3 linked regions of the Yarrowia lipolytica genome follow. The protein of the gene in region 1 interacts with the protein of each later gene in a pairwise test. Links are inferred from orthologs where the notes say so. Each region holds a gene or a part of one and is shown on either strand. Other genes may lie near its edges.

The links. The genes of interacting proteins can lie anywhere in the genome.
Region 2: the proteins of YALI1_E25761g (region 1) and YALI1_B27280g interact in binary tests that used the Saccharomyces cerevisiae proteins (3 or more experiments, as listed by UniProt). The link is inferred for Yarrowia lipolytica from reciprocal best matches to the Saccharomyces cerevisiae genes AKR1 and RBD2.
Region 3: the proteins of YALI1_E25761g (region 1) and YALI1_B07162g interact in binary tests that used the Saccharomyces cerevisiae proteins (3 or more experiments, as listed by UniProt). The link is inferred for Yarrowia lipolytica from reciprocal best matches to the Saccharomyces cerevisiae genes AKR1 and KEX1.

Annotation. Positions count from the first base shown.
Region 1 is NC_090774.1:2,574,306-2,578,786, forward strand, and holds YALI1_E25761g (uncharacterized protein), read left to right. Parts: upstream 1-1,851; coding exon 1,852-3,960; downstream 3,961-4,481. Other genes in the region: YALI1_E25729g (uncharacterized protein), read left to right, coding at 1-711; YALI1_E25812g (uncharacterized protein), read right to left, coding at 4,352-4,481. UniProt on the Saccharomyces cerevisiae protein: Palmitoyltransferase specific for casein kinase 1. Palmitoylates isoforms YCK1 and YCK2 at both C-terminal cysteine residues, which is required for their proper plasma membrane localization.
Region 2 is NC_090771.1:2,726,047-2,729,453, forward strand, and holds YALI1_B27280g (uncharacterized protein), read left to right. Parts: upstream 1-1,937; coding exon 1,938-2,106; intron 2,107-2,154; coding exon 2,155-2,879; downstream 2,880-3,407. Other genes in the region: YALI1_B27254g (uncharacterized protein), read left to right, coding at 1-799; YALI1_B27293g (uncharacterized protein), read left to right, coding at 3,318-3,407. UniProt on the Saccharomyces cerevisiae protein: Probable rhomboid-type serine protease that catalyzes intramembrane proteolysis.
Region 3 is NC_090771.1:714,298-718,580, reverse strand, and holds YALI1_B07162g (uncharacterized protein), read right to left. Parts: upstream 2,374-4,283; coding exon 529-2,373; downstream 1-528.

The DNA.
Region 1 (4,481 bases):
ACTGACGCGCAGCTGGAGCCCGCCTCCAAGGTATTCATCACCTCGGGGCTGGCCAAGCTACTGGTTTCTACCAATCCTAGTCTTGTTTTCGGCGCCAAAATCTCAGCCTCGGTGGCTGTCATTCCTCTGTTGGCCAACATAGACAACGACTTTTCGCCCCTCCCTCTTTTGGATTCATTCGAGTCTGCCCTAGCTCTAACCAATCTCGCCTCTTTTGACGATACCACCCGAAAGGTGATTATCAGCCACGGATGGGAGAAGATTGAAAACATGATGACTTCGCAGAACCCCATGGTGCAACGAAGTGCCGTGGAGCTGGTCTGCAACCTATCGCTTTCGCCCTACTGTGCCGAGAAGTATCTTGACGGAAGTAAGGCAGCCAACTCGCGTCTCAATCTACTGGTTGCTCTGACAGATCTATCTGATGAAGCGGGACGTCTAGCGGCTATGGGTGCTCTAGCCATGCTGTCCGAGTGGGATCCTGCTCCTCCCATTATGGTCAAGAACGAGAAGCTGATGGCCTGTCTGCAGCGCATTCTGGACAAAGATACAGAGGTGGAGATGATCTACCGAGCTGTGGCGTTAGTGGGCAATCTTTCGCAAAAGGAAGGAGGCAAATTGGGCTCTCTCAAACCTGGCCTATTGAGAGTCAAGTCTATGGTGAAGGACATGACAGCAGAGGTCGATGACATTCTTACTAGACTCAAGTAGAGGGCCAATTAGAACACTGTAGACACGGCTAAATAACGATTGATCAAAGAATGTGTCCGAGCTACTACAAGAAGGACAGTATGTAGGTACGCGGTAGCTGCAGTCACACGATGTCTCGAACTGTATTGGAAAGCAAAGTGGACGGACCTGGTGAACCCTCCTGTTTTTGAACCCTGCTAATGATTTGAAATGCCTCTTCTATGTGCTCTATCAAATGTCGCACACTTTTAGAGAGGCTGGTGGACGAGGGATGAGAAGGTCCCAATGACCAGAATGTACCAGTGTACACGTTACCACTTGGTTCTAAATACCTCACGCTATTACTAAATGGCTGGTATTTACTTTTGTTGTATCACGGACTGTACAACCCGTACTCCGGATGAGCTTCAGTTCATACGGTGCATACACGGCGTTGTGCTGTATGGTCTTTGCATGGAAGTGGTTGCTGTGGCGACAGGGCGCTCTCGTACACCTATCGTATGTACAGGCTTGTATTTACAGTCTGTAGCTAGCTACATGCTGTATAATTAGCAGCTCAGGTACCAACACTAATGCCCCTTCTTGCTATCTACAGTAGTGCTCGCCAGATCAATCTACCTGTACGTACAGCCCGGTCTCGGGGACAGTGATTTATTTAGACCCTTGCAACTTGCTTTTTCTCGGTGCGTAAATCCGTGATTTTAGTGAACTTTTTTTGCCAACAGAGCCAAATGAAAATTTAATCTGATTGCATGCCCCTGGCGAGCGTTACAGACGAGGAGGTGCCAAGCCGGCAATGTGGGAGGTGCAGTACAAGAGTCGAGACTACTAGTTGGAGGCTGAGTCGTGGCTGTGCATGAAGCGGCTAAGCGGAGCGGGAGCTCATGGCGCGTCACGTGACGGACTGCCGCCCTCCAACTATCTCTATTTTTTACAGCTCCATGTACCAGGCAAGACCACTCTAAGCTGCTTCACTTTGTCTTATTTTGCCTTCGTCTGCCTGGCGATTATTCTGCCCTTGCCTGTGGATTAAGGTGGTGTTGGGACATAGCGCAAATACACTGCACACACGTACAGGCTCAGACGCGTAAGTAGGCTGTACACACCTGTACACCTCACCCACACCCACCAAGTTCTTCTCAACCAGCTTGCTCACACGCCATGAGCACCGACGCAGAACTACAGACCATCTCGGGCCTCTCGGTGGCGTCCAAAAGCGCCCCGAGCACCCAGACCGAAGGAGTGACCGCCAGTGGCAAAGTGGAGTCGACTACCAACGCCGAAGAGGCCACCAGTGACGTGGAAGAGGAGGAAAACCCGCTGGTGGTGGCAGCCCGAGACGGCAACACCGCCGAGGTCAAGCGGCTATGTGAATCGGGCAGCTATTCGGTTCTGGACACCGCTGAGGATGGAGTGACTGCTCTCCATTGGGCGGCAGTCAACAACCGAATCAGCACGTGCCAGTATCTGGTAGAACAGGGAGCGGTGGTGGACGCCAAAGGAGGCCAGCTGAATGGCACGCCACTACACTGGGCTTGTCGCCGGGGACTGGTGTACATTGTACACTACCTGATCCAGAACGGAGCCGATCCGCTGAGATCAGACGTCCAAGGCTACAACGCTCTGCATCTCGCCACCCATTCGTCCAACGTCATGCTGCTGGTTTACCTGTTGCATCAGGGCCTTCCTGTCGATTGCCAGGACCCAAATGGGCGAACCGCTCTGCATTGGGCAGCCTACCAGGGAGACGCTCTGTCGGTAGACGTGCTGCTGAGATGGGGCTCGGACGTGAAGATCACAGACACCCAGGGCTTTCTGCCATTACATTGGGGTATTGTCAACGGCTCGCGAAACTCGCTTGCCCGTCTCATCGAAGAAGGATCCGACATGTACGCCAAAAGCAGTGACGGAAAAACTCCCCATGTCATGGCCGCTGAAATGAACACCACCGCACAGCTGGAGGGCGCTCTCGACGACTGTGGACGGTTCCCCGACGGTAGCCAAAAAACAAAATACTTCGACGCCCGAACCACTAATCTCTTGTGTTTCTTCACCCCCTTCATTCTCATTTTATTGGGCCTGGTGCTGTGCACCTTCTGTGGCCCCATTTTTGGGATCATTCTCACCGTGGCGACCCTGTTCGGATCTATTAAACTGCTAAAGACACTTGTGCTACCGTCTCTTTACAACGGACATGCTGCTCTACTGAAATCACCCTTCCAGGCAGGTATATTCACGGGCTCGGCCTTCTGGGTGACAGTCAAGTACCTAACTTCCGTCCTTCCGGCTACTTTTGCCTCCCACCCCATTCTCAACTTTTTCTTCGCCTCCATATTTGGTCTGGCCATGTACTGCTTCTTCAGATGCATGTCCATGGACCCCGGATATATCCCCAAGCTTTCTGGCATCACCGAGCAGAAGGAGGTCATCGAGACGCTCATTGAGCGGGGCGAGTTTGACACGCGACACTTTTGTTTCGTTACCTACGTGCGAAAGCCGCTGCGGTCAAAGTTCTGTAGACAGTCGAAACGAGTCGTGGCCCGGTTCGATCACTTTTGCCCCTGGGTGTGGAACGCCATTGGAGTCCGAAACCACCGCATGTTTGTGCTCTACGTGCTGTTTCTGCAGATTGGCATTCCTCTCTGGTTGGCTCTCAACAGCGCCTACTTTGGAGAGCTGCTTGAAATCAAGCGATGGGATCCCCTGGAGTTCTACCTTGTCATCTGGATCTCACTGCAACTCATCTGGATCACGTTCCTGTCCTTTGTGCAGATTTTCCAGATCTGCAGGTCACTCACCACCTCCGAAGCCGTCAACCTGCAAAAGTACGGCTACATGGGTGCTGATGACTACTCGTCGGTCCCTCTAGACCACTCTGCCGCCACAGCATCAGCCAAGTCCGTTATGAACGCCCATGGACACGCTGCAAAGTCGCCCTGCTTTTCCTCGGTGCTCAAACTGCTTGGAGTCGATCAGTTTGTGGCTACTGCAGGTGAAGCCATCAAGCATCGGGACAATCGGTCGTGGAAGGAGAAGAACCCCACCGACTCGGGCGCCGGAACTAACTGCTTCGACTTCTGGTTCCCTAATGGCAAGTTTGACCTCCTGGCAGTGTTTGAAGCTGGTAAGGGTGGAGGAGCCATTGGAGGCCATGCGGTGGACTACTACAAACTGTGGGACTTCCCCGATGTGTCTCCCAACCAGCAGCAGACCAACAACCGGTCCACTCGAGAAGATGGAGAGGCTCTTCTGGCCGAGTCTCAAGTTTGAGCATTGATAGATAGAGGAACGCTAACGTATATAATAAGCTTGTATAAAGAGAGAGTGTGTGAGAAACGTACTTGTACTTGTACATGTGCAAATATTTGAGTATACAGTATGACAGAAATTCATTTTTGAGTACTCCTTGTACTTCTCATAAGAGACACTCAAAACTACAATCAATGTTACTGAGTTTTGTTGAGTCTCTCTACTACAAGTAGTAAGTACAAGTATGTACTAGTATTTATTTTTTAAACTTTCAGACGCACAAGTTTTACACCACCTAAACAAGATCACCATACTTGTACTTGTATGCCAAATAGCCATAACTCATAATAAATTTACAGTACAAATACATATCCAACCCATCCGACCATTAGTAATTCCCCTTTTCTCCTCTTCAAATCACATACTCTCCCTGTTCCATCAACTGCAATGCTTTTTCCGTGGGGTTTCGAACCCGTCCTGACCGGCTCGTTGGAGACATTGAAAACGACATACTGAGAGGCTCCTTCTTCACTTTTGGAGAC
Region 2 (3,407 bases), on another chromosome or scaffold:
TCTGCTTGTCCACCAGGAGTGGAGCAGAGAGCATGGCTGGCGAGTGGCAAAGCGACCTGGCGTTGACTACTTCCTGGGCTACCTCGGCCAGTACTATGAGATTGTTCTTTTCTCTTCTCAGTACATGGCCAACTGCGAGAAGCTCATCATGAAGCTTGATCCCTACCACGCCTGGTTCTCCCACGTTCTGACCCGAGAGCACACCACTTACGAGGACGGTAAGCTGGTCAAGGACCTGTCTCTGATGAACCGAGATATGGGCAAGATCATCATCATCGACCCCGATACCGGATGCACCATGAAGCAGCCCGAGAACTCCATCCCCATCGAGCCCTGGAAGGGAACTCCCGGCGACAAGGAGCTGGTCAAGTTGATCCCCTTCCTGGAATGGCTGGTGTCTCAGAACGTGAACGACGTTCGACCCATTCTTAAGGCCTTTGATGGCACCTATCTGCCTGACGAGTTCACCCGACGAGAGGCCATTGCCCGAGAAAAGTTCGAAAAGGACTGGTACGCCAAGCACGGAAAGGACGGCCAGTGGGCCTCCAAGTTCCTGGGTGTCTCCGAGCCCAAGCAGCAGAAGCCTCTGATGCCCCACGACGTGATGCGACGAGAGGGCCAGAAGCAGTACCAGAAGTTCCTGGAGTACCTGGCCGTTGAGGGCCCCAAGCTCAAGGCCGAGGAGGAGCGAATGATTGCTGAGCAGAAGGCTATGGGACCTAAGAACCTGTCGGAGGCTGTCTCCAGCATTGGTTCTCTACCTCCTGTGCCCCAGCAGCCCACTGAGCCCAAAGCTTAGATGTATATAGTATGAGTTAACGTGGCACGATGAGTGATAGAGCCATGAGCGAGCCATGTGTGAGCCATGTGTGAAGCGAATGGTGAAGCGAATGACAACGCGATTGGATAAATGTAGCTGCTGTAGCCGTAGTCCGGGCCTATTCAATCGCTGGCTGAGAACTGTTAGTCACTGCCCCTTCTTCGCTACAAACTGTCTGATGTATGTCTGTTGCACAAGCGCATATATATATCCCGTGTCTGGTGAAGGGAAAGGACGACGGCTGGGGGAAACACAAATATATATCAAACGCGATGTGCACTTTTCATATCAACGACTTGCTGTTATCTTGAGATGAGCCAGATTGACTCTGATCTGTTACCCTGATAACGACGCACCCAGTTTATTTATATCTTCAGTATGCATTGATACGAGCTGCCTCGGTATGAGCCCTGGTATCTCTTTCATCAGACTATAAGTACACACCAAGTTTTTTCCGAAGTTGATGAACATACAAGTATTAGTATGAGTACATTATTCTGGAAGAGTGGCGACGAAACTGTAGTCTCGTTCTTCTGACTTTTCTCGCTTACAGTCCTGAGCCGGCTGAACAGGGCTGAGTTTAGATCCTCCTCATGTCTTAAACTCGTACGTCACATGGTGAGTTATATATAATGGACGATGATGGGCGATGTGAATGAGTAGAACAAAAGTAGTGAGAGGTGTTTAAACAGAACGTGCAAAGCTTCCAGCTGTTCCCTCTCACTTGTCATGCTCTTCTCAAGCAACCCTGTCTTAGCTATTCCCGCATCACTCATCTTAAATGTGTCCGGAGATAAGTAAGCTTCAGCTGCCTGTACAGTTTGCGAGTCCCAAACTATCCAGGCGATAATAATAGTTCTCCATGAGTACATTACCGCGGGTATCTGAGGTTGCTTTTGGGGTGTCATTCTGTAACAGTCTCATCTTTTTATATTGCTCAATGCAAAAATCGCATTTCCAGGTCTCTGTGGGGCCCACCACTTGTCGAAACAGGTGTTGTTATGATGTCGGATTTTCATTTACCCTACTCACGTGACGCCCAAGACATGTAGTACAGAGACTTTAATCAGACTGAACCATCAACAGCTCTGCGAACTTGCCTTCTTACGACCCCACAATGGCCCAGTTCCCGCTGTTTCAGAAATTCCAAAAGGCGATACAGCACCCGCCGGCCCTGTCGCTTGGGCTGCCCATTTTTCTGACCGTCATTTTCCTGTTGTCCCAGCGATATGTGTGGATTGAGGACGACCTGGAGCTGCGAAGCACCGCCCTGACCAATTTCGAACGTGAGTACACCGCAACAACACACCACTATTTTCCCCCTCGCTAACTAGTCAACCGAATCTCATTCTACCCCCTGGTCCATGCCACCTGGTTCCATCTGCTGCTCAATCTTGTGGCGCTACAGCCCATTGTGTCGCAGTTTGAGCGAGTCAATGGAACTGTGCGAACCGGAATCGTGCTCAACATTCTCGCTGTTGTCACTGCCATTCCCTGGTGTCTGTTGTCTATCGGCTTCTTCCCCGATGAGGCTGTCCTGGGCTCCTCCGCCTGGATCTTCTCCTTCATGGGATACTGGGCCATCCGGGAGTCCTCCAAGCAGCCTACCACCCAGCTGGCCCCCAACCTCGTGGTGCCCACTTGGCTTCTACCCATCATCTACCTGGTTGTCATTGCCATTGTCATCCCCAGCTCTTCCTTCATTGGCCATCTGCTGGGACTGATTGCTGGCTGGATGATGGCTCTGGGCTACCTGGACGTACTCATTGAGCCTTCGTCCAAGGTGGTGCTCTGGATCGAGAACAAGATCTCCAGAGTCATTGACCTGATCCCCTCGTCCATCGTCACTTTCTACCGAGAAGAGGGCGCTTTGGACACTCGAGCTGCCGCTCGAGCAGACACCAACCGGTCCCTGTCCGTGTCTGGCGGCAACTTCCTGGGCTTCCAGGCCAACTCCAGCCAGGCCGATCTCGAGGCCGGTACCCGGTCTCGAGGCAACAGCAGCGTTGACCCCACCACTTCTTTCCCTGGAACGGGCCAGACTCTTGGTACCCAGTAAAGGACGATACCAAAATGAACGTAGAACATGTAAACATGTAATGAGCCATGACCTTTTAAGTGAGTTACAGGTGTAGGGTGTTTGTGCGACTGGTGTAATACATGTACACAAGAAATATAGTGCCCTGTATCGTAGATTGACTACTGAAGATCCCAGGGTGGATGGATGATGTACATACCAGCTACACTTTGTAGTATCGATATGAAGCTGGGAACGCACAGTGGGACTATCACGATGACAAAAACTTGAAACCATGCAATTAATTATGTGTACTCAATCGTTCGTCTTCACAATCTACCTCTGTATCGTTCTCTCTCTCTATGATCGTTGCCCCCTTCATCTCAGAATCAAAGTTCGGGATATGCATGTCAGAAATTTTTCTGTTATCTCGCAACTACACCTGCACATTCCCCAGAGGACATTATTGGACCAGCTAACATGTTGACAGAAGACCAGATTGACGACGTCATGTTCGACGCCCGAGGAGGCGAGCTCGAAAGCATTGAAAAGTTCTTCTCCGCTCAGGAC
Region 3 (4,283 bases), on another chromosome or scaffold:
TATCATTGGGCAACTTTTTCCCTATAGTGAGACAACTGGCAGTCTTCTCATATTCTATTGAGTTTAATCTATTTTATTTGTAAAAAAAAAAAATGCACACGCCTTTATCGTCTTCTCCACAATTTGTTACTATGAATCACATTTTTCTACATTTTATTTTTTGTTTAGTGACTTTCTCTTTTCGACGATACACAATTCATCACCTCAAACAATGGCAGTGCCTCGAACGAAATGCATATCGCAACGTTTATGATTTATCGAACCCAGCTTACTACAGGCAGAGGTATATAATATATATATATATATATATATATTATATATATAGCTGTAATGAATCATTAGAATAATTTCAAAAAAAGTGGTACGGAGTTCTCCATGGTGCAAGTCAGCGCATGGTGCTGTAGTCAAATTACACAATGTAACTGCCACCAACACAGATACACACGTTTACAATAGAATACTGAGACTAGGATAGGGTTTATTTGTGCTCACGACGGTATTTTATTTTATTCTATCATCCTATGTTTATTACACTTCAGGCCTTCGGATCACAAGCTCTTCGGCATCCTCGTCTTCCTCAGCAATTTCACCAAGATCGTAGTATTCTCCGGGCTCCATCAGTCGTTGCCTGGAGTCGAAAGTACCCTGTTGGTTGGAGAGTGGTCCACCAGAACTGTTTCTCCAACGGGAGATACCTCCGAAACATGAACCGAGGAGCGATGTCTCCTCCTGATAAATATGGCCTCGGTTTTTTCTCCAAAACAGGAATCCTGCGAGCCCCAGGATAATGAGGACAACGATCAGGGCTGTAAATCCAGCCTGGTAGTACGCCTTCCACATGGCATCACTTGCGATTTTCTTATCGTGTTCCGCGTCGTCATCATCGTCACTGGAACTGTCGTCGTCAGATTTTTGGTCGCCAGATTTTTGATCGTCCAAGTCACTGGGGTTTTCACTACCCCTTCCAGGTTTATTACCAGATAGGTCGCTCAGAGCCTTGGAGACGCCAATGAAGTCATTCAGCATTGTCAGACAAGCCTCGGGTTCATCGTAGGGAACCATATGAGAAGCATTGTATATCCTAACATATGTCAGATTTCTGTCACTTTGCTTCTTGCCTTTGGAAACGCCATCGACAACCCAATCGTCGAGCTCCAAGCCCTCGGTCCAACCCTTCTTTCCATTCCATTCCAGCTGTTCAATCATTCTCTCATTTCCGTAATGGTTGCAGATGAGATCTCGATCACCATTGAAAAATAGAATTTCCATGCTTTCCAAAAGGTCAGGTAGCAGGTAAACTGCAGCATCGTCATTTCCCTGTCGCATGCGGGAACCAACTGCTCCATTGCATTCCTGCCACGACTCCTGCTTATCGTTGTTGACATTCAGAGCCTGCACTGTTGCGTCTTGTCGTAGCCAATCAGTGACATATGGCAAAATCTCAGGCCAGTTCATACCACACGATGGCCATTTATCTTCCTTGGATACGTCGTAGTAGTTAACACATATTCCTTCAGATTCTGGTGCACTCCGCTCATTTCTGCTCAGTTCCACAATGCCATTCATGATATCTTCACAAGCTCGAATATGGACGGGAAGTCTCCCGTTGTTCTTGTCCTTGGCGATGTTAATGGCTCGCTCGCAAGTGTCTGTAAGCTCTTTGAGATCCTTCACATGTTCTTCCGTCTTTTCAATCACTCCATAGTCCAATGCGTATGGCACATACTGGTAATATTGATTCGCGGGGTCCATCCATCCGTTTCCAATAAGTAGACCTTTAAGATCGACAGTTCTCGTTTGCTGTAATTTGGTTGCGATGTAAGGGATGTACTGACCAGCGTAAGATTCTCCAGCTAGGTAAAAATCATCATGGGCTCTTTCTGGGAACAATTTGAGGAACTGTGTCATGAATGAATCCATCTCATCCCCTACCTGCCCGAGGCCAGTCAGATAAGAATCCGTGTCCGAATAGGAATAACCAGTTCCATAGGGCTGGTCAACAAATAACACGTTGGCATATTTGTGCCAAGAGCCCTTGTTCGGATCTACTCTGAGCTTGTCATCCACGATGCGGAAAGGGCCCACCTCCAACAGGGCTCCATCCATTGATGAACAACCAGGTCCTCCGTTGAACCACACGATAGTTTTAGGGCGCTCTGTGATCTTGTACTGAGCCTCAACAAGCCAGAAAAACAGGTTTCCGTTATGAGCTGCATCAGTGAGAATGTTTCCGGAATGCATCGTGTAATTGTCCACGCTGTCTAGTCCAGGAATGTGGCGGACGAAGTAGTCCGACTGCGACGGTGGTGCCTCATCAAATTGTGACAAGGCTAGTGAAGCAAGTCCACAGAATAAACTCCATGATAACTTCATGGCTGTTTCTTGTGGTTCGAAGTGGTTGGTGAAGTGGACGTGCAATGAATGATTGAAGTTGACCGAGCTTATTCCAATGCGTTGTGCAGTTCAGGAGTGTCGGGCAAGCCAGAGCTACAAGTACATACTGTATAAACTTGTAGGAATAGTACAGTACTGTCCAAATATGCATGACGAATATAAAACAAGTGAACTAAAGTGTTTCTTCACGATGACGGATCAATCTACTTGTGAGTCACAATGCAAGTGTCACATCCGCATCTTTGGTTTGTGATTACTAACATGACACGCCGCCCAACTGGCTAACCCTTACCTTTTATCCGAAACAGGACAAAAGTACGGCTCTTGAAATTACCACTGGAAGCGTTGTATGTGTGTGAAATATGAGGCTTAAATTTACACAAGCAATTGTGCCCGAATGACCCGCCCTTAAATGACCGTGCTGCGAGTGTCTGAGTGTTATCCGAATACGACGCGTGCTTCCCATGCACCTTCCATCTCTCGCGTTAATTACTTAAAATGAACTCAAACTCACAGATTCCGAAAGTGAAGGTACGGCATGTACTCGTACTCGAATAGGATGTTATTAGAATCAAATATATAGTGTGAGATGCTCTCGTACCGGTATAAACATTACATTAGTACTGGTACGATTGTCACACGTGTATACTTACCATACGAGTAAGGCAGTACAAGTAGTACCAGTTTTAGTACAGACTTCCTTGCACGCGAACTGAGGAGTTCCTGAAGAATCTTTCTGCAAGCCCAGAAGAGATACACATACATACTGTCCCAGTATCAGATGTACAGAGCACGGGAGGCCCCTGCAGTAATGGGTTCGATAAACCCAATAATGCAACAAGTGTGACAAGTATTACTTGTACTTGTACAAGTACAAGGTAGCTAATTTCGTAGTTGCTTAATAGAGAACTTCAGTTGGAGCGGGCCATACTTCCTGCATTATAGGCTGTTGATATATTAAAAACAAGCATAGGCGTTTGTACAATACAGCCGGCTATGACACCAACAAGCAACTGGTCATCGCGCAGCTTGTACAAGTACCAGTACCTGGTACTGAAAATGATGTGAGACTCACAATTTGCCCATCTGAAGTCGATAATATATTGAGTAACTTGTTCAGGTGATATTCTGTCGCTGCCGAAAATATCCCCCACCCCCGGTATTGGACGCTGTATTGAACATTACGTATGGACTCATAGAGTATATATAAGTAATTTTATATATATATATATATGTAGACGAGCGTTAACCTGGTAGCAAAATAAAACTAAACCTTAGAATGTGGTCGCGTGCGCATTCTCCAGGGCAGTGCAAATGCATACTACTGTACTGTGTGTACTATGTACATGTTGATCATGACGTTGTGAATTCATGACTGATGCAAGTACATACTGTATTTGTGCAATAGCGGGACGAGCAAGGCTGTCGGGAGTAGCAGGCAGGGTGCAACACAAAAACGCACATTATTTCTATGAATAAGTCGTACGGCACTCGTACTAGCCACGAGGTTTTGCTGTGCCTTTAGTCACTGAGCTATTATTGTGTCGATAGCCACCCGAAGTCACCACGGAACTACATTTAGGCGCCTATTCTCAGTCATGTGCAAGTACAGAAGGTACATACTGTAACACGAATTACTGATAAACTGTACTTGTACGGGGCCGTGCCTTATAACAGTACAGTACTGTAGCTACCAGATTCTGAAACACGGGCCGAACTGCAGTCGCCGACCACCCCTACAAATTTCAATTCAGAAATTTCAATTCAGAGAACATACGATTTTTCATAATCACAGTGCACTCTCATACCGAACTTCCTCGTTGCTTATACTTTTCCTAGCAGGGGATTTGACCACACAAAAGGTGTAACTCCCATCACGGCATGCTGAC